2 linked regions of the Neurospora crassa OR74A genome follow. The protein of the gene in region 1 interacts with the protein of each later gene in a pairwise test. Links are inferred from orthologs where the notes say so. Each region holds a gene or a part of one and is shown on either strand. Other genes may lie near its edges.

Region 1 (3,529 bases):
GATCGATCTCTGCTTGAAGGTGGAAACCGATCCTGGTGAGCTTGCCAGGAAGTACGAGCAGCGTTTGCTTGATGAGATCGTCAACAGGACACTCTACGAGCAAAAATCCGAGGCGGTGAGACTGGCGGCATACAATGCTGCTGCTGAGCTTGTCTTCGTCGCCCCTGAGACCATGACTCCTCGCATTGTTGACCTCATTCAACAAAACCTCAAGGTTTCCGAGGTCCAGTCCGTTGGCCCTCTCGAGGCGGCCATCTTCCGTACGCCTGAAGGAACCGCCTTCGTCGATGTGCTGGCCAAGAAACAGAACGTCGTTCCTAACAAGAATGATCCCAACTACCATACCCTGAAGTGGGAGGAGGAGCTTCGTGAGCAGATTGCTCAGAAGAAGGGAGTGCAAAAGAAGCTTACAGCGGAAGAAAACGCCAAAGTCAATGCCCAGCTCAAGAAGGAAGCGGAGATCCGCGAGAGCGTTAGGCACGTCGCGGCCAACCTCTTGCGTGGCTTTGGCATTGTCAAGGCTCTCGCTACTGGTCCTCCCACTGATGCCAGCCGCTGGATGGGTCCCGCGGTCAAGGCTACCCTTAGTGTCATCGATGCTGGTGCAACTCTCATCACCGGTGAGGCCGGTCCTCTGGCTTTCATCTCCTGCTCAGAGTGCGTCACGTCTCGTGTTGGCCCTATCCGCCCCTTCATTGGTGTCGCTACCCTCAGGGCGCACAATGTTTCCGCGCTGCCTGAGAACCTTACCGAGGAACCTTTTGACGATCTTATCACTCGTGCTCTCTATCGTCTCAGGTTCGCCGGTGAGCAGCGCCCGTTCGATGTCATCTCACTCATCTACATGCTCCCGCTCATCCTCCTCGTCCTCGAGAAGGGTGGCTTCGGTTCTAATGCCGATGACAAGGATGCCACGCTCGTCCTGGCCATCGAGTTCCTTTCCTTCCACACCGATGTCTATGCTGACGAGGCCACCCCACGCGCTGAGATTCTTTCCACGTTGATCACCTCGATGCAGAACTACAACCAGCACTACAAGATCATCAAGGACTGCTTCTCCGACATGGTCCGCTGCATCGCTCCCAACATTTCTGCTGAGGAGATTGCCGTCCTTTCCCGCGGTGCCATTGTGCCTCAGGTCGCCGTTCGCACTGCGGCTCTACAAGCCATCAGTTCTGATGTTGACATGAGCGAGCTCTCCACCTCGGAAGAGATCTGGCTTGCTTGCCACGACGATGTCCCGGAGAACGCTGACCTTGGTCGTGATATCTGGGAGGAGAGCGAATTCCAGGTCACCGAGGAACTTGCCTTCAAGATGCTGCCCTACTTGGAAAGCAAGGATGGCCAGCTTCGCCGTGCCGCTGCCAAGGGCCTTGCTGAGGCACTCGGGCAAAACCTCTCTGCCGTCAACCCCATCCTTGAGAAGCTGAGGGAGTCCTACACTGAGCTCGCCAAACCTCGTCTTCCCGAGCTTGATGAGTTTGGCATGCCCAAGAAGAAGGACCTTTCTGACCCCTGGGAAGCGAGACAAGGCCTTGCCCTTGCCTTCCAGGGTATTGCACCATTGCTCCAGAAGAACCAGCTCGAGCCTTTCTTTGCCTTCCTCATTGACAACGGCCCCTTGGGTGACCAGAACGGTAACGTCAGAGCCCAGATGTTGGAGGCTGCCAACACTGCCATCGAGATTCACGGCAAGTCCATCCTGGACAAGCTCATGAAGACTTTCGAGAAGACCCTTGAGGCTCCCGACAAGGGCACTGCTTTCGCGGATCGTGTCAACGAGGCTGTCATCATTATGTACGGTGCGCTGGCCCGCCATCTCAAGCACGGCGATGCCAAGATCCCTGTGGTTATTGACAGGTTGATTGCCACCCTGAGCACCCCTTCTGAGACTGTCCAGTATGCTATCGCCGAATGTCTCCCACCACTTGTCCGCACCTGCGGAGACAAGTCCAGCAAGTATATCGAGCAGGTCATTGAGACTTTGATGACTTCCAAGGATTACGCTGTCCAGCGTGGTGCCGCCTACGGTCTTGCTGGTCTTATCCTTGGCCGTGGTGTTAAGTCGCTTAAGGAGCACCGCATCTTGATCACTCTCAGAAGTGCCCTCGAGAACAAGAAGGAGGTCAACCAGCGCGAGTCTGCCATGATTGCTCTGGAGCTTCTGTCCACCATCCTCGGCAGACTCTTTGAACCCTACGTCATTCAGATCGTTCCGCAACTGCTCGCTGGCTTCGGTGATAGCAACCCGAATGTCCGTGAAGCCGCGTTGCATGCTGCCAAGTCTTGCTTTGCCAAGCTCAGCTCTTTCGGTGTCAAGAAGATTCTCCCTACCCTTCTCGATGGTCTTGACGAGGACCAGTGGAGATCCAAGAAGGGTGCTTGCGACTTGCTCGGTGCCATGGCCTACCTTGATCCCCAGCAGCTGGCTCAGAGTCTGCCGGAGATCATTCCTCCCCTTACCGCCGTCTTGAACGACAGTCACAAGGAGGTCAGACTTGCCGCCAACAAGAGCTTGAAGAGGTTCGGCGAGGTTATCGAGAACCCCGAAATTCACAGCCTTGTCGACATCCTGCTCAAGGCTCTCAGTGACCCTACCAAGTACACCGACGAAGCCTTGGACGCCCTCATCAAGGTTCAGTTCGTCCATTACCTTGATGCCCCCTCGCTGGCTCTCGTCAGCCGTATCCTACAGCGCGGTCTCGGCGATCGTTCCAACACCAAGCGCAAGGCTGCGCAGGTCATTGGCAGTCTTGCCCATCTCACAGAGCGCAAGGATCTTGTCGCTCACTTGCCTGTTCTCGTTGCCGGTCTTAAGATTGCCATCGTCGACCCCGTGCCGACTACTCGCGCTACTGCCTCTAGAGCCCTCGGATCTTTGGTCGAGAAGTTGGGCGAAGATGCTTTGCCGGACCTCATTCCGGGTCTTATGCAGACCCTCAAGTCCGACACTGGCGCCGGAGACAGACTTGGTTCCGCACAGGCCCTTTCCGAGGTCCTCGCTGGTCTGGGTACTTCCAGACTCGAGGAGACTCTGCCTACCATCCTGCAGAACGTCGAATCCTCCAAGCCTGCTGTTCGCGAGGGTTTCATGTCGCTCTTCATCTTCTTGCCCGTCTGCTTCGGAAACAGCTTCGCCAACTACTTGGCCAAGATCATTCCTCCTATCTTGTCTGGTCTTGCTGATGATGCCGAGTCGATTAGAGAGACTGCCCTCCGTGCTGGTCGTCTGTTGGTTAAGAACTTTGCCGTTAGAGCTGTCGATCTCTTGCTGCCCGAGCTTGAGCGTGGTCTTGCTGATGACAGCTACCGTATCCGTCTCAGCTCCGTCGAGCTCGTTGGTGATTTGTTGTTCAACCTTACCGGTGTCAAGGTCACTGATGGTGAAGATGAGGAAGAGGATATCGAGACTGTCAAGGAAGCCGGTGCTTCTCTCCGTGAGATTCTCGGAGAGGAAAAGCGCAACAAGGTCCTGTCCTCGCTCTACATCTGCCGTTGCGATACCTCGGGTGCCGTCCGCTCCGCTGCT
Region 2 (4,559 bases), on another chromosome or scaffold:
TGGAACAGACCGACAGCTGTTGGAAACATGCATCTACCTGATTCTGATTCTGATTCTGATTCTGCTCCGAAACATACATATGGCGGCGCCCCGTGACGAGTAGAGAGATAGATAGGTAGGAGATAGGCAGGTCCAAGGGCGAAAATGAAATCTTGTTCATTGAAACTGCGCAAGGGTTTGTGATGTTGAACCACAGCAGACATCCAACAACAATTTAGCCTTGGTAAGACCTGAAAAAACAGCACCGCTCGATGGTGCTATCGCCAGGGTAGGTAGGCAGTGTAGTAGTGGGGATTGGGAATGTCCGCTGGTGACTATCACACATTGTAACCGCATTTTACGCGCGGTTTGTTTTATATTTTGGTTGTCGGCAAGGGGGGGTAATCGCTTACTTACCTACTCGCTTCGCTAACAAATTATCACCGTAACGGGACAGGGCAGGTTAGGGTAGGGTAGGTAAGAGCTTAAGAGGTAGGGATTAGCTCGGCGATAGCTGGTAGACACAGCTGGCAGGCTGAATCAGACGATGATGAGTGATGCTGGTCGCCGTCGGTAATTTGTCTTAGAAAATTCGCCCGAGTTGTCTGGAGTTCTAGGTGAAGGAGACAGACGGACAGCCGGACAGACAAAGAAAACGAATAGAGAATAAGAAGAAGAGATGTCCACCCGCGCGCGGGCAAACACACACACGCACACACCATCGAACCTCCGTCGGTTGCGACATCTGATTTGTTGGGTCGAATCAATTCCAATTTACACGCCCAGTAAAATCCCCTGCTTTTGATGGGCGGCGAAGGACATCAATAGTAGGCGACACCAAAGCGGCTTCGGGCATGTGTGTGCTTTTGCATGTTTGTCCTCCGGGCACTGGGCAGTACGATTCGTACTCGTCAGTACCTAGACGTAGGCAGGGCTCTTTTTGCTCCAATTGCTCCTTCGCGCTTAGTTCTTCTTTCTGTGATAGTGACGCTCCACTCAGTGAGCAAGCAGCGGTTAATTGCTGAAGTGGCTTCTTGGATCGCCCCTGTGTTCAAGATGGTGTAATGGTCAAAGGCAGATGTCTTTTCGATTCAGTGGACATTGGTAGCTATGGTAGTGGGCATTGGTTGAATGCACCACTGTCAGCCGTCTGAAACAAACTCGTAAAGTGTCTAATGGCGTGCCATCATTGGCGAAACTTGCGATGCGGCCCTGGGCCGAGGCCTGGTGGTTTCCAGACAAGTGGACGAAACTCATCGGGGCCATTCAGGATCGTACCCTTCCCTTTTGGAAGGTCTACACTGCTTTATTGCGTACTGCCCGTGCACGATGCGTGTTCTAGAAGGCGGGAAGAATATCCCATGCAAGAAAGCTGGTGCCTGCCCGTGCTGATGATGTTAAAAAGGGAAAGGATTCGATGCCACTGGTGGTAAAGTTTCTCGTGATGATGTTGCTCCTTTTGCGGGCGTTAGCGCTGCTGCACTAACAGTAACAGCTAGCTTCCTCGAGTGCAAACAAACCAATCAGAGCTTCTCCCATGAACCCCACCGTCGAGCGGTCAGTTGGCGGCAAATTCCGCCCCGCGCCCAGAAGAGGGACGAGGGCACCCGGGAGGCGGACCGGCGCCGTGAAAGTATCAAAAGTTGAACTCCACTTTGATATCGCACTCCGACAGGCTACCTACAGCTGCGTTTCAAGATCAAAGGAAACGTGACAAAACGACAGTGTTTGTTTTCACCGTAGTTTGATCAGCGAACTGTCAGACCATCATAGCCAAGATGGAGGCCGAAATCAGGACCGTTCTCCCCAACATCGACCCGATCATCTCCGAGTATTCGGCCGGCTATCTCACCCATGCCTCAACGGCCTGGTCCGGCGATGAGGATGCTACCGGCCCGTCTCCACTCGTCGAGGCCGCTTCCGCCATCACCGACCTGCTGATCTCGGCCTCTGGTGGTACTAATGCCGCCCTGCAGGACAAGATCCGTCAGCTGGTCGACAAGTGGGTGGACAGGTATTCTGCTGCCAACGACAGCCAGGAGAAGAGGGGTCCGGCTGTGAAGCGTCTTGACCAGACTATCCAAGTGAGCGCTCAGAGGAACATCTCGTCGACTCTGGCCGTGGCCACGGGCGGTGTTGATCTTGAGTCGGCCAACGCCAGGAAGGTCGAGTCCAAGGTCGACAAGAAGAAGCTGGAGAAGGCCGAGAGGAAGATTGCGGCCAAGCAGAACAAGAAGACCTTCAAGACGGTCGAGTATGAGGCCTCACGTCTGCTCAACCAGGTCGATCCAGCTCAGTCGTACGAGGAGTTCTACATGGCCGTCAACCCTCTGCAGATGAACGGCTCTTCCGGCAAGACCAAGGACATCAAGATCGACAACATCGACGTTACCATCGGTGGTCTCAGAATCCTGACCGACACCACTCTCACTCTCGCCTACGGCCATCGCTATGGTCTCGTCGGTCACAACGGTGTCGGTAAATCTACGCTTCTTAGAGCCCTCTCTCGCAGAGAGGTTCCCATTCCTACGCACATTTCCATTCTTCACGTCGAACAGGAACTCACGGGTGACGACACGCCTGCCATCCAGGCCGTCTTGGACGCCGACGTTTGGCGTAAGGTTCTTCTCAAGGAGCAGGCCGAGATCATCAAGAAGTTGGCCGACATTGAGGCTCAGCGCGTCGGGTTGGCCGACACCTCAGCCGATGCCGCCAAGCTTGATAGGGAGCGTGAGGTTCAGGACAACAAGCTCGGGGAGATCCAGGGCAAGCTTGCCGAAATGGAGTCGGACAAAGCCGAGTCGAGAGCGGCCAGCATTCTTGCCGGTTTGGGTTTCTCGCCAGAACGCCAACAGTTTGCGACCAAGACGTTCTCCGGTGGTTGGCGTATGCGTCTTGCCCTCGCCCGAGCCCTCTTCTGCGAGCCCGATCTCCTGCTGCTCGACGAGCCGTCCAACATGTTGGACGTCCCCTCCATCACGTTCTTATCCAACTATCTCCAAACCTACCCCAGCACCGTGCTCGTCGTCTCTCACGACAGAGCTTTCCTCAACGAGGTTGCCACCGACATCATCCACCAGCATTCCATGCGGCTCGACTACTACCGCGGCGCCAACTTCGACTCCTTCTACGCCACGCGCGAGGAGCGCAAGAAGGTGGCCAAGCGCGAGTACGAGAACCAGATGGCGCAGCGTGCCCACTTGCAAGCCTTCATCGACAAGTTCCGGTACAACGCGGCCAAGTCCTCAGAAGCCCAATCGCGTATCAAGAAGCTCGAGAAGATGCCTGTCCTGGAACCGCCCGAGACCGAGTACAGCGTGCACTTCAAGTTCCCCGAGGTGGAGAAGCTCTCGCCGCCCATTGTGCAAATGTCCGAGGTTACCTTCGGCTACAGCCCCGACAAGATCCTGCTGCGCAACGTCGACCTGGACGTCCAACTCGATTCCCGCATCGGTATCGTGGGCCCCAACGGCGCCGGTAAAACCACCATCCTCAAGTTGCTCGTCGGCAAACTTTCCCCCACTTCGGGCCTCATCACCATGCACCCCCGTCTCCGCATCGGCTTCTTCGCCCAGCACCACGTCGACGCCCTCGACCTCAACGCCTCGGCCGTCTCCTTCATGGCCAAGACGTACCCAGGAAAGACGGACGAGGAATACCGTCGCCAGCTGGGCGCCTTTGGCATCACCGGCACCACAGGTCTGCAGAAGATGGCCTTGTTGTCAGGTGGTCAAAAGTCCCGTGTGGCCTTTGCCTGCTTGGCGCTCACGCAGCCGCACATTTTGGTTCTCGACGAACCGTCCAACCATTTGGATATCGAGGCCATGGATGCGCTCTCGGAAGCGCTGCAGAAGTTTGAGGGTGGTGTGTTGATGGTTTCCCACGATGTCACCATGTTACAGACGGTGTGCAAGAGCTTGTGGGTGTGCGAGAACGGAACAGTGGAGAAGTTCCCTGGTGATGTGCAGGCGTACAAGAAGAGGATTGCGGCGCAGGCGGATGCGGCGGGAGTTGTTAAGAAGCATTAAGATAAGATAGGATGATGGAAAAGTGGTGGTGGTGGTAGTGGTAGTGGTTGGGTGGGAGGTGTGGAAAAAAATGCTGTTAGATTGTACAAAGCGAAAATCTCAAGGTTGATAAAGCGGTCATAAAGTGTTGTAGATTGTGATGCTCTGTTTCTGTGTTTTGTGTGACTAGGGTAGATTTTGTGCTTCACTTATTCTTCTGCTTCGTGCTTTTGCTGTTGTGAAGTAGCCCAAGGTAAGGAATCATACGGCCATCCTCGGGAACTCTGACTGAACAACCATATATGTAATGGTTGGGTCATTTATAGAGAAGTTTGTTTCCCTGGATGAGGTTGGCCCTCCCTAACTGCAAAAGATCATGACTATGCCAAACCTTTTTTTTTTGGGTGTCCAGCTTCGCAACATTTCCTTCAGTCAACAATGTGCTTGAGCGAAATACATGTAGGTAGAAGATGACCTAATCATGTATTTTATGAATCCTTGTGACGGGCATTACATATCTGATCTTACGTCCGCATTTATCTCAACATAGAGTTTAGTGGTGGTGTCGTTGTT

The links.
Region 2: the proteins of NCU05803 (region 1) and NCU04051 interact in binary tests that used the Saccharomyces cerevisiae proteins (3 or more experiments, as listed by UniProt). The link is inferred for Neurospora crassa OR74A from reciprocal best matches to the Saccharomyces cerevisiae genes GCN1 and GCN20.

The regions. Positions count from the first base shown.
Region 1 is NC_026507.1:3,883,228-3,886,756, forward strand, and holds part of NCU05803 (translational activator GCN1), read left to right. Parts: coding exon 1-3,529. UniProt on the Saccharomyces cerevisiae protein: Ribosome collision sensor that activates a translation quality control pathway when a ribosome has stalled during translation. Directly binds to the ribosome and acts as a sentinel for colliding ribosomes.
Region 2 is NC_026506.1:2,567,612-2,572,170, reverse strand, and holds NCU04051 (GCN20), read left to right. Parts: upstream 1-1,592; 5' UTR 1,593-1,757; coding exon 1,758-4,007; 3' UTR 4,008-4,170; downstream 4,171-4,559. UniProt on the Saccharomyces cerevisiae protein: Acts as a positive activator of the GCN2 protein kinase activity in response to in response to low amino acid, carbon, or purine availability.